Linked DNA regions of Caenorhabditis elegans. The protein of the gene in region 2 interacts with the protein of the main gene of each other region in a biochemical or structural test. Each region holds a gene or a part of one and is shown on either strand. Other genes may lie near its edges.

Region 1 (7,446 bases), on a different chromosome or scaffold from region 2:
ATTTACATTCTCATTTGGAGTGAAGACATCAAGTAGATCAATTATATTTTCATGACACATACAACGAAGAAGTCGGAGTTCACGATATGTACGACGGGCATGAATTATTGATTGAAATGGACGATTGAATTTTTTGATTGCGACGCGAGTCCCCGAGCGAGTACATTCAGCAGCACTAAAAATCGAAAAATAAAGTAAAAATCAGTTGAAATGACATACCAAACAGTTCCATATGCTCCGGTACCAATTGGAGTCAAGTTAATATAATAATTTGGAACAACCCAGACACTTCGATTAAGCTCAACGACATAGTATCCTTCTCGTGGAGTCGGATGAAGTATATGATCCATTGTTGTCTGTGGAAACATTGGCTCCGTTACCTGGAATCATGTTTGTAAGATTTGAAGTAATTATTTTGAAAAAAATATGATTTTTTTGTGTACGTAAAACCAATATAAATGTAAATATAAAAATTAAGCGGCAATTTGAACCGATTAAATGTTTAAGAGTATTTAGAAAATTGAATATTTACATTAATTCTTTATACACTTCAATTTGATAAATGAATCTAAATGAATAATAAATTAAAAGAGGCTCTGAGGTCATGGCAACTTATAGGATTAACGAGAAAGTTAAGGTAAATCACAAGTCTATGGTTTCAAAGGAAAAAATTGAGATTTTGTGGAAAAGAACATCTGAGATCGATTGTTGGATAATTAGAGATCAAGGAATTAGGGACACAAATTTGATTTTTAGTGAAATAAATAGTTTAGGGAGATACAATATAGAAAAAAGAAAATTCCACAGTTTTGAGATATTTTAGCACTTGAACACATTTGACTTCATATTTTCATTGGCTCTTCTTCCGTATCCGTACAGCTTACAAAACTTAGTCTTCGTGCCGAGTTTTGGAATAATCGAATCTCATTCCAAATTAACTCTCGCCAGTCGGATAACGTTGTTGCTCGTTCTTCAGCTGGATCAATTGTGACCTAACAAGAAAATTGGAGTACTTTTAGAGAAGCGAACTTAAATTTCGTACTATGCTATTTATTACCGTATCCATTGCAACTGGTTCATCATTTGGCACAGAGTATTCACGAAGATAGTCATGACGAAGAGCACTTGATACAGAAATTCTTCTGTCCGGATCCAAAATTAGCATCATTTCGAGAAGTTCGAGAGCATATGGAGAAGCCATTGGAAACAATGTAACGAAGTCCTGACGGATAATTGGAGAACGATTTCTGAAAGATTTTTGCGTAAACGATTTATTTTTTTTTTCAGTTCTAGTCTAGTAATTGAATTTCAGAAGTATTTGCAACACTAACTTAATATAATTTCGAGCTTCTTCTGATTGAATTTTGGACCAGAATTCTTCTTTTGGGGTACCCACAACTGACATTATCTTTGTTAGCTGATCAATATCTGCAAATTTTAAATATTTAAAGTATTAGAGGAATAGAATAAAACTCACGATCATCGCCTGGAAACAATGGTCTCCCGGATACCAGTTCCGCAAGAATACATCCAACTGACCAAACATCAACTGAAAAATTCAATATTTTGGTAACATTTTTAGAAGTAAAAAAAAATGATGTTTTTGTTTCATGTGATAAATATATCAAGTTTTTCGTTTATTTGAAAAAATAGGAAGTTGGAATAGAGAGAGAATTGCAGAAACCAGAAATACCAATATCAAGTCAAAGTTTATTCTTCATATTTTCACACGTTTTAGCATAACTACAAGAAACAGGTGAAACATGCTTTCAAAATGTCAGAAGTTAACCTCAAATCATATGATATTTAACAATTTAGTTCAAAGATTTTAGGTGACTATTTAAGTGCATAGAAACCAATTTCTTTTATTTACTCACCAGTCTGTGTATAATGCATCCAATTGAGCATAATCTCTGGAGCTCTGTACCATCTTGTTGCCACGTATCCAGTCATTTCGGCGTCTTGAGCACGAGCCAATCCAAAATCGAGAATCTTGAAAAATGAAAGAATTAGGAAAGAAAGTTGAGAAAAACTAAGAAAAACCTTGACTTCGCATCTCTCATTGACAGCAATATTCGATGGTTTTAAATCGCGATGGATAATCCCTGCCGAATGGATATACTGCAAGAATAGGAAAATATTTGAATGTAAAAGAGTATTAGGAGAAAAAGATCAAAGAATTTTTGGAAGAAATATTTGAAACAAAGCTGTTGTAAGATTTAACCAGCCTAAAACGTGTGTTTCTTCTTTGAAAAGGATGCATTAATTTTTTCAGAATAATAGTTGAATTGAAATTTTGGTGACTCATGTACTGAAGCGTTATTTGCAACTGTTCACATCAAACTGTTTAGATTAAAAAGTATTTTAATGTTCAACAAGTTAAAATCTGTTCTTATAAGAAGTTTTCCCATTCTCTGAAACAGAAAATAAATTTAAAAGCTCATATTTTAAATATATTACCACAAAACGCAAAATTCAATGTTTTTTTTAATTTTCAGATTGAAAAAAGTTTAAAAAGCTTTCAAAAGATTTTTTTTCAACAAAAAAAGAAAAAAAAAAGAAGTGTGTACTATGTAAACAATAGTCTGCCAGCATACCACTTTTATCATGAAAAATGAAACAAAACCGTAGTAGAATTGAATGTGAGGAAACTTAGAGAAAAAAGTCAAAAAATGGATAGAAAACAGCCTGTGTTTAGCCTAATGTTGTATTTGGCATTATAAAGGAGACAAGGTGTTCATCGATCACTATTTTATGAGATAGTACACGTGATTGAGATACGCAGGAGGTTACACAAATGGTATTGCATAGGTCACGGTATATAGAGTGAGAGAGTGGAATGCAAGGTAACTCTTGTTTTAGATTTGAACGTATGTCATTGGAAATATATTGTATCCAAATATCGGATAAATGCGTGTATCTTAAAAACAGATACAATTTCAGACAGAAACCAAATGTTCAGATTTCCTTGTAAATAAAACTTAAACGTTTGAGCTGGGCATTCTAACGATCTTCAAGTTGAGATTTTTGTTATGAGACTATTTCACATTAATGGAATTATCTTTAAACATTTTATGTTACCGAAAATCACATTACCGGATCGGGAAAAAATATGGAATTTTATTGAAAAGCATCGGGTTCAAGTATGAGCAAATCCGTTACCGTACCCTGGAGTAAGGCACTGTCTTACGGATAGAAAAAACTTTCAAATGTCAAAACTCGAAAAGAAACTACGTTTTAAATTCTTTAAAACTGTCGAAATGCTTCGAAATCACAATTTATGGCAAAAAATACGAAAATGCACTCTTCTTTGAATTCATTCGTATTCTGTCTAACAGAATGAATGTTCCATGTAGAACCTGTCACATTCATATATCATTTCTGCGTATTTGGTTTTCCATTTTAACTCAAGAGAGAAAACGAGAAAAATTGAGCTTTCAACTGGTTTGTCTAAAATCTTCGGATGTAATAAGAACTACGAAATTAAAAAAAAAAGTTGTGATTTATATTTTCATTCAAAAACTAATCTGTCGCATTACAGTGAAACTATAATTTTTCCATAAAAATCACTTTTGAAGTGTTTGGAAAAGCCGCTGGAGCATAACATTTGAAGGCTTTTCAGTGGCCGAAAAAAGTGGCTTTCTACATTCTCATCTCTTGACCCGTGCCTAATCGAAAAAATGCATCTATCAGAGAGAAAAAGGAAGAGAAAAAAGAATGAAAGGATGGAGTAATCGTCTTCAGAATTTAATTAGAAATTGCAGGAAAACAAGATGCAGAGACGCAGGCATCGAAACTGGGGAAAAAGTTTGAGAACACTTAAAAATAATTTATTCTGAAAATTCCCTACTGTTTTTCTATTTTCTGAAAACTTGTTTTATATCTCTCATATTGCCTTTCTAAAGCAAATCGTATTTTGTGAAATATGAGTAAAAACCTGAGAAAATACGAGAAAAGGAGATACGAAAATTATAGGGTTTGAGTGCTGACATAACCAGAAATAGGGAATGAAAATAATACCTTGAGCCCACGTAACACTTGATAGATAAGCAGTTGGATTTGTTCATCGGTCAGTCGTTGGATTTTCATAATATTTTGTAAATCGGAGCCCATCAGAACGGATACGAAATATCTGAAATTGTAAATTCGTCAGATATTTAGATTTTTGGATTTATTCGAAATTTCTTCAGTATTTTTTGAAGCGCGCGGAGTAGTGTCAGTAATTGTTGGAACGACTAAACCATTTCAAAAAATTATGTCATAGTATTTTAACTAAAGATTTGATTTCGTTTCAAATTTTTCAGAAGCCCCACTATTTTTCAAAATTTGGCAAGTTACCGAGCCTGGCTGAATAATTTCCGAAATATAAAAAAGAGTTGACAGATATGCGTTGAATTCGTTGAAATCCGCAATTATTCACTAAAAATGAAAATATACTATTTTTGTATTTGAAAATGTTTTCATTTTTTGAATTCAATTTTATTTTAACTTTATTCCAGTCTAATCTTTTCAAATTCTCAAACTTTTTCTACCTTGTTCCGGGTTTTCTATTCTCTCATCATCTAATCCTCTTTTTTCTCAAATCCCTTAAATATTCTTGAGAAGCAATTTATTCCCCTAAACAATCCGAAACTCACACATTATTCAAAGAAGATGCATCTGGATCTGGTGTGAATACATCAATCATTTCCAATACATTATCATGTTGTAGAGTTCTTAGAAGTTTCAGTTCCCGATAGGTTCGTTTTGCGTGAATTGTACTTTGAAATGGGCGAAAGAACTTTTTAATTGCAACTCGATCTCCAGTTGGCTCATATTCTGCTGTGCTACAAAAAAATGTCAGATTTTAGATATATCTCAATTTTTGTAACTTACCATACAACTCCATACGCTCCTTCTCCTAGAGGCTTCAAACTGTTGTACCATTGAGGTAAGACCCATTTCGTTTTGTTTAGTTCGACCTACAAATAATCTAACTAAAAATTGCAATGAAATAAAAAAGGAAAATATGTAGTTGAATTTATAGTTTTTTTTTATTATGAATTTATAGATTTATAGTTTTTGACAATTTATATTTATTTCCAATGATATCACCATCACATTATGTCTCATATCCTATGATCTTCGTGAATTTTGTAGTTATTTTTATTTTGGCAACTGTAAAAATGGAGTAGCGCAACAGGGAGAAGATGATTAAAAAATACTTCCATAGTGCAAAAAATGAGTAATTGTGTTTTACTTTTAAGAAAACATTGGATTTTTTTAAAGAATTCAAAAAAAAAAAAGGAATTCAAAAAAAAAATTTTGGAAGCCGACCAAAAAAAATCTCTCCTGACTTTCGTTATAAAATCATTTTTGTTCAAGTGATTAAAAAAATCTTAATTTTTTTTTCAAATAGTCCGCAAATTTGGAAATTTTCCAAAACTTTGACTAAAAATGATGAATAATCTAAAATTAACTCATTGGGTTTTTGTAATTTGCAAAATTTCTTTTAGCTCATTCTAGTATATTTAGACAATATTCACTACACTATAAAAAATCTTCTTCTGTAACTATACCTCATGATATCCTTCTGGAGTAATCTCAGGCGGGGCAGGACCAAAATCGGCAAAAAAGACACCGGGAATGCTGGCTGAATCGCCCATGGTCGCCGACATCCCCATCAACAAGACATCTAGAAAAAGTTTGAATTGAATTTGTAAATATAATTTTTACATTTTTGCACGAAAGTTTTAATATTTCGAAAAAGGGCAGACAATTGCCTACATAGGTATTCCAAAATAATAATTCAATCTTATTTCACATTTTTTAAATGTTTGAATTTTTCTGCTAATTGAATAAACGTTTTAAGCTGAAGTTCAGGATTAACTTTGTCAAGTCAAACTATGCTTTTTATATTAAAAAAATTCCAGAAATTTTCAGATAATCTCACTTTAAACATATAAGCTCGTGTAAAATATGAGTGACACGGATTAGAACCAATCTCTTTTTTATAAAACACTTCAAGCTTTTAAAACGAATTGTCAAAAGAAAATAAGTTTATTGAACTAATTAGTATGTGTAAGGGTGCAATGACAAGAATGACGAATATAAAAAAATATGATGGGATAAAAGCATGAGAGAAAAACGAGACAAAGAGATTCAGAGAAATGGAGAAGTAAAGAGAAAGAGAGAAGGAGACAGAGACATAAAAGGAAGAAGCTATAGAATGCAAGAAAATAAATACTCTGAAAGAATTTGAAAGAGAAGATGGAAAACATCATTATCACCTGTAAAGTGTTGCTATCACTGAACGACAAAGAGACGAGAAAGAGAGAGGGAAAAGAAGTAATACATTTCCGGAATTATATACAATTAATATAATTGAATGAAATCAGCGATCTGCTTCTCCAGGGATTAACGGTGATGAGCTGAGTCTTTTGTAGTTCATTATTTCCTTCCAGACGGCATCTGTAATAAAATATTTTTGCATTTGTTGTTTTTCAAATTTGCAGGTGTGCAGAATTCTATTACGTGATCTTTGAGCCTTACCTCTCCACTCGAATCTTGTTCTAGCTTGAGAGTCATCCAAGTCAAATATATGATCAGCTCTTGGTTCATCTTCTGGAAGTGAAAACTCTGCCAAATATGGATGTTGAATAGCTTCTTCCACCGTAATCCTCTTCTCTGGATCCAAAACTAAAAGCTTCTCAAGTAGATCAATAAAGTCTTCTGATGGATTATGAGCAGAAAATACATCACGGAAATTTCGACGTTTGTGAGTTGTGTAGGATTGAATTACGGCTTTAATTGCAGACGAGTTATCATTTTCAATCTTTGTCAAAAGTTCTTCATCAGGACTTCCACATAATTGAGTAATACGTTGATATTGAGCATTGGGCTCATCACCCGGAAACAGTGGTTCTCCAGTTAAAAGTTCTGCAGCAATACATCCAAGTGACCACATATCTGCCAGATTTGTGTAACTATCAATCTTCCAATAAATGACTTCTGGACTACGGTACCATCTTGTTTGTACATATTGTGTTAGAGAAGTATCTTTCTTTTCCAAGGATCTTGCAAGTCCAAAATCGAGAATCATGAGGTCAGAATCATCGGTCAACGCGAGATTTCCTGGTTTCAAGTCACGATGTATAATCTAAAAAATTTTAATAAATATATTTTCGTGTTTTAGTCATGTTCTTTTTGACTAATTATGGCCTAATCGTGCCTAATCCTCCTATATGAAATTTTATTTAATCTAAAATGCTGATATTTCTATTAAAAAAAAAAGAATGAGCAATGTTCTGTTCACTAACTCCATTGACTTACATTAGCAGAATGAATGTACTTAAGTGCACGTATGATTTGATAAATGATGAATTTGATATGCTCGTCGGTCAGCACGCGCCGTCCATAATCTCTTTGTTGCTTCAAGATCTGATAAAGACTACGACCCGCAAATTC
Region 2 (4,454 bases):
AATACGGATGTTATCAATCAGTTTCCACTGGAACATTCCAAGTTGCTTCAGTATTTTGCTTTTTGGTTCTAGTATTTGGACTTCTGGATCTAGGCCTGAATGCCTTCTATTTTTATCGTAATTCAAAAAAGGCGCCAATTTATGACATTCCGCCACCGTCTGTTGCCGTCATCGAAACGGAAAAGTGGGTCAAGATTTGCATAAAATTAGGAAATATTTTATATTTCATGTCCTTTCAGAAGTATACATGACATTTACATGGAGTATCAACGAAAAGGGCAAACAAGTTCTGTTTAATGGAAAAGTAATCAAATAATTATCAATGCTCAACTTTAAATTCACTTTCTCATAATAATTTGTATATATGAAACATTAATAAAACAATTTTCTGATTCAGTTATATCATTCTGAAAAGTTTCCGTTTTCTGGCAAGCGACGGGTGGATTTTAAAAATCGTTTGCAGACTTTACTTTTTTTTGTTGTTTCACCTTTTTTTGTACAGGAAGCAAATCAAAAATAATAACACATTGGTTTTATTAGAAACAATTAATGAAACATTTAAAGTTAAAAAGTATTGCACATGAATGATTGGAAGTATTGCAGAAAGAGAGGAAGGGTTTTTTGAGAGCGAAAGACTTTGATTGGGGGGCATCTAGCGAGAAGACGAAGAAAATTGGCTTTCTATCCGTATTAGTCAAAAATAAGAAAATGGAATGGGATCAAGGGTGAAGGGCAGTAACAACTGATGCTCTTTGAGCCAAAACTGATTTGAAGTGGGCTATTTCTGCTTTTAGCGTTTCGATTTGGGTACGAAGATCTTCATTTTCACCTTCCAAGAGCTGAAAATGTTAAGTAATAATTGATTCAATAAATTTATATCTAAGTTTTAAAATTTTATGTTTTCTATTAAAATTAGTTTCAACTTACCTGAACTCGTCGTGACCTGTATTCGAATACTGCTCGTCTATTTGCTCTACATCTTTTTGCGGCTTCATTGTTCCTTCGACGTCTGTCCACATATTGGGGCTGAAAGTTTTTTTTTGAAATATTTGACATGTATTTAAAAATGTCTTCTTTCAATTCCTTTAAAAAAACTTACCGATTTGTTCGAATAATTTGAGTGATCTTCCGAAGAATGCGATGGAGAGAAAGATGCTGAAGACGATACACTTTCACAGTCTGATTTGTTTCCAGTATGTCTTGGAGGGGAATTTAGCCCCGAAATATGTTCCGTTCGGCTTTGTGGTACTGTAGGAGAAGGTCTTCGCTGTGAAAGAAGAGCAGATAGCAGGGATGGTCCTTGTTGAACAGCTTGGATTACTGGTTGAGGCGTACCTGATGGAGCAGGCTGACCGACTGAAATAAATTTTAGATTATAGTTTCAATTAATACTAGTGAAATGAAAATATGCTCTTTACTTTCAAAAACAACGACTTACTTTGTTGAATAACGCTAGATCCAGGCTGTAACTGAGGTTGAGGCATATTCACGTCAGTTGATGAATCTGGACTTCTTCGTTCAATTTTCACAATTACGCTACTCGATGGAAAACTCTGCTGAGCACTTTCTGATGGTCGAAAAGGATGAAATGCAGATGAAGACGATGAAGAGAATAAAGATGATGCTGACGTTGATGCAGGTTGTTGAGTGCTCGCATAGACCTACAAACATGGAAAAACGTTATGGGACATCTGTCTTTCTAGGTCACGCATTCAGCTGTCAATGTATTCATTAAATTGTTGACAATCTGAGTTGTGTTGCCAAAAAATGACAATGGAACTTTATATGCGGTTCAGACGTTTTTGTAATAGTAAATATTTTTCCACGAGTTAATTTATTTTATTTAAATCATCACAATTTCGATATTTCCAAGTTCAATAAAATAACTTACCGGTGACTGAATAGTTGTTGGCTGTAGTTGACAAAGCTGCAACATTGATGGAATATGCGAAGCTGCCTGGAGCAATGGAACAGTAAGCATTGAACTCGCTTGCAAAGATGCTATTGGACCCGCTGGGAAAAGATTCTTTGCAACTTGGGGAATAATCAGAGATGTTGGAGGCTCTGTTACTGATGGTTGTGGAATTGGTGTCGTTCCTAACTGAGATTTTAACCGTTCGTTTTCGGCGGAAAGTAACATTATTTTTTCTTCCATTGCTAGATCGTTTTGCCTTCGCTTTTCTCGACTTCTTCTTGATGCATCGTTATTTCTCCGTCGCCTTTCCCAGTAATGTTCATCTTTTATTACACTTTCGTTTACGGAATTTCTGGAAAAATAGTTATCAATGTCGAAAAGTATTTAAACTTTCAAAAGTTTCATCAAACTGTTAAAAATTCAAACCTTCTAGATTCCGGGGGAGATCCTTCTGAAAAGTTCGACGAATCCGACGAGCTCGATGAGAACTCGGCGGATGCCGAACAAACCACCGAAAGTCTGGAGGACGGTGACAATGATGCCGAGTCGACGTCCATCTGAAAAATAAAAATAAGATGATTAAAAGTCAAACAAAAGAAGAAAATCAAGAATATAGAAGTACGAAATTTGAAAGAAAAGAACATCGGTGAAAGAAATATGAATACCAAAATCTTTCAAAATGAATTAAGACACAACATTTATATTTTGACTTCAAAATGTTAGTACACATGGTGTATTGAAATGGAAAGTTAGTAGAGTTAAAAGAAGCTGTCAACCTATTTGATGTAAGGACAAATACGTCTTTTTGAGTTGAAATTGACACGATCTTTGGAGATTCAGCACAATCAGAAGTTCAATGTGTTCACTGTTTCCAGATATTATTAATTAATTGTAAGCCATTTTAATTGACCAATGTGTATACAAAAATTATTCAGTTTTTGGTTTCAGTGAAGATGATCTTACGCAATGCTAATCCCTGAGTATCTAGACAACCAGAAAATCACTAACTTAAAAAAAGGTGAGAAAACAAAGTATATCTGGTACAGGTGTGTTCATATGGTAGGTGTAGAGTGCAGTTAGCAACAATTAAGCGGTGTTGTGCCTCTCCTCAGTTGACCTATTTGCGCCTTGCAAACCAGTTAGCCATGGTCAATGTTTCGGACAATGCTTGGTAGATCCTCTCACTCTCAGTCTCTACAATAAACCAGTCGAAGAACAGGATATCCCCTCCGACTTTCGCCCCCTTCTCTCTTCATTGCAGTCCCTTCTCTTTTTCTTCGACCCGTCTCCTAATCATTTTTCATCGTTCGCAACGACTTCAACGCGTCGCCTCCTCCGATCCATGATGATGCCGACTTTTCCTAATTGTTTTCACTTTCCTTTCGCTTTCATGCTTAACTTTCGCTGCTTCGGGTTACGGATGTATGTGTGTCTAAGTGTGAGAAGGAGGAGGAGGTCAATGGTTGAATTCGTCGCATCAGGTCACTAGTACAAAAGGGTAGGTGAACTTTGCGGAGAATTGGAAGACAAGAGGATGAAGCTACTGGGTGGAAAGTGAATAATGAGATACGGCTAAAAGATAAAGTTGAAAAAGATAACGAAGAAAAAATTGGTAGGTTTAGATAAACAAAAGTCTTGAAAAATTCATAAACGCACTCTAGGTCAGGACTGTAAAATATGACCAATGTGAGTGCAAGCCTGATAGAGAAATTTTGGTTATTTTTCACTGCTGAACACAAAAAATGATACTCAATTCTGAAAGTAATTGTTCAAGAAACTCGGAAACGATACAAGCAAATGTATTCAAAATGAAAAAAATGCGTTGAACTAGATGAACAAATTCGCGAAATCGGGCTGGACTTGTTTGTTTTTGATTGTGCACCTTGAAAAAGAGTGGCGAGAGCCAAAATAACCGCCGCCCGTGTTGGGGGACAATCGTCAGCGAAAAGAGAGAGCTATTTTTGTTTGTTTGTAAGGCTCGGAGAATGACGAGAAGTGAATCACAAACAGTGTCCACTATCCTCCCGCACCGCTTCCAAAACTTTTTTGTCTGCAAACCAGAACAGCCAAATTCACTGCATCATTTGATGATTTTGATGACCAGTGAGTGTGTGCCTGTCCCTTGCTGTGTCTACTTCAGTAGTTTTACATGGAGAGCGGATAATACGGTTAGGTAGAGTAACAGAGTGAGAGTGCACTTTTGGTAGTTGATTGCGAAAGTGAGGTGTTGAAATGATGGTATTCTTGTTGGGAACTGAAAGATCGCAGTTCGATACGAGAAAGAGAGAGTGGCTAGCACGATCATATCGTTCGGGAACGAGTCGGTGAAAGTATGCAGGCTATGGGAAGGAAAGTGAATGAAATTGGAAAAAGAGGAGAGAAAATTGAAATTCAATTTTAGATAAAGGTATCTTTACTTGAATCTAGGATTGTCAAGAAGAACTGTTATTTTCTTAGAACTTTTAAATTGGAACAAGTGAAGTTTTAGCTTTTCACATGAAAAAGAGGTATTCTTTGAGTCTGCCCACTTTGAAAAGTG

The links. The genes of interacting proteins can lie anywhere in the genome.
Region 1: of the proteins of atf-2 (region 2) and pmk-2, one has a biochemical effect on the other in vitro, tested with the Caenorhabditis elegans proteins (one study listed by BioGRID).

The regions. Positions count from the first base shown.
Region 1 is NC_003282.8:8,141,728-8,149,173, reverse strand, and holds pmk-2 (Mitogen-activated protein kinase pmk-2), read right to left. Parts: upstream 5,675-7,446; 5' UTR 5,664-5,674; coding exon 5,559-5,663; intron 4,962-5,558; coding exon 4,876-4,961; intron 4,827-4,875; coding exon 4,638-4,826; intron 4,133-4,637; coding exon 4,021-4,132; intron 2,122-4,020; coding exon 2,044-2,121; intron 1,993-2,043; coding exon 1,878-1,992; intron 1,550-1,877; coding exon 1,478-1,549; intron 1,429-1,477; coding exon 1,332-1,428; intron 1,248-1,331; coding exon 1,043-1,247; intron 993-1,042; coding exon 843-992; 3' UTR 526-842; downstream 1-525. Other genes in the region: Mitogen-activated protein kinase pmk-1, read right to left, coding at 1-175, 220-368; Mitogen-activated protein kinase pmk-3, read right to left, coding at 6,374-6,450, 6,532-7,138, 7,312-7,446. UniProt on the Caenorhabditis elegans protein: Responds to activation by environmental stress and pro-inflammatory cytokines by phosphorylating downstream targets.
Region 2 is NC_003280.10:8,750,004-8,754,457, reverse strand, and holds atf-2 (Transcription factor atf-2), read right to left. Parts: upstream 2,473-4,454; coding exon 2,342-2,472; intron 2,268-2,341; coding exon 1,892-2,267; intron 1,662-1,891; coding exon 1,439-1,661; intron 1,357-1,438; coding exon 1,100-1,356; intron 1,027-1,099; coding exon 928-1,026; intron 840-927; coding exon 720-839; 3' UTR 525-719; downstream 1-524. Other genes in the region: K08F8.7 (MARVEL domain-containing protein), read left to right, coding at 1-184, 240-297. UniProt on the Caenorhabditis elegans protein: Acts as a transcription factor that recognizes and binds to the sequence 5'-[GA]TTA[CT]GTAA[CT]-3', a sequence present in many promoters.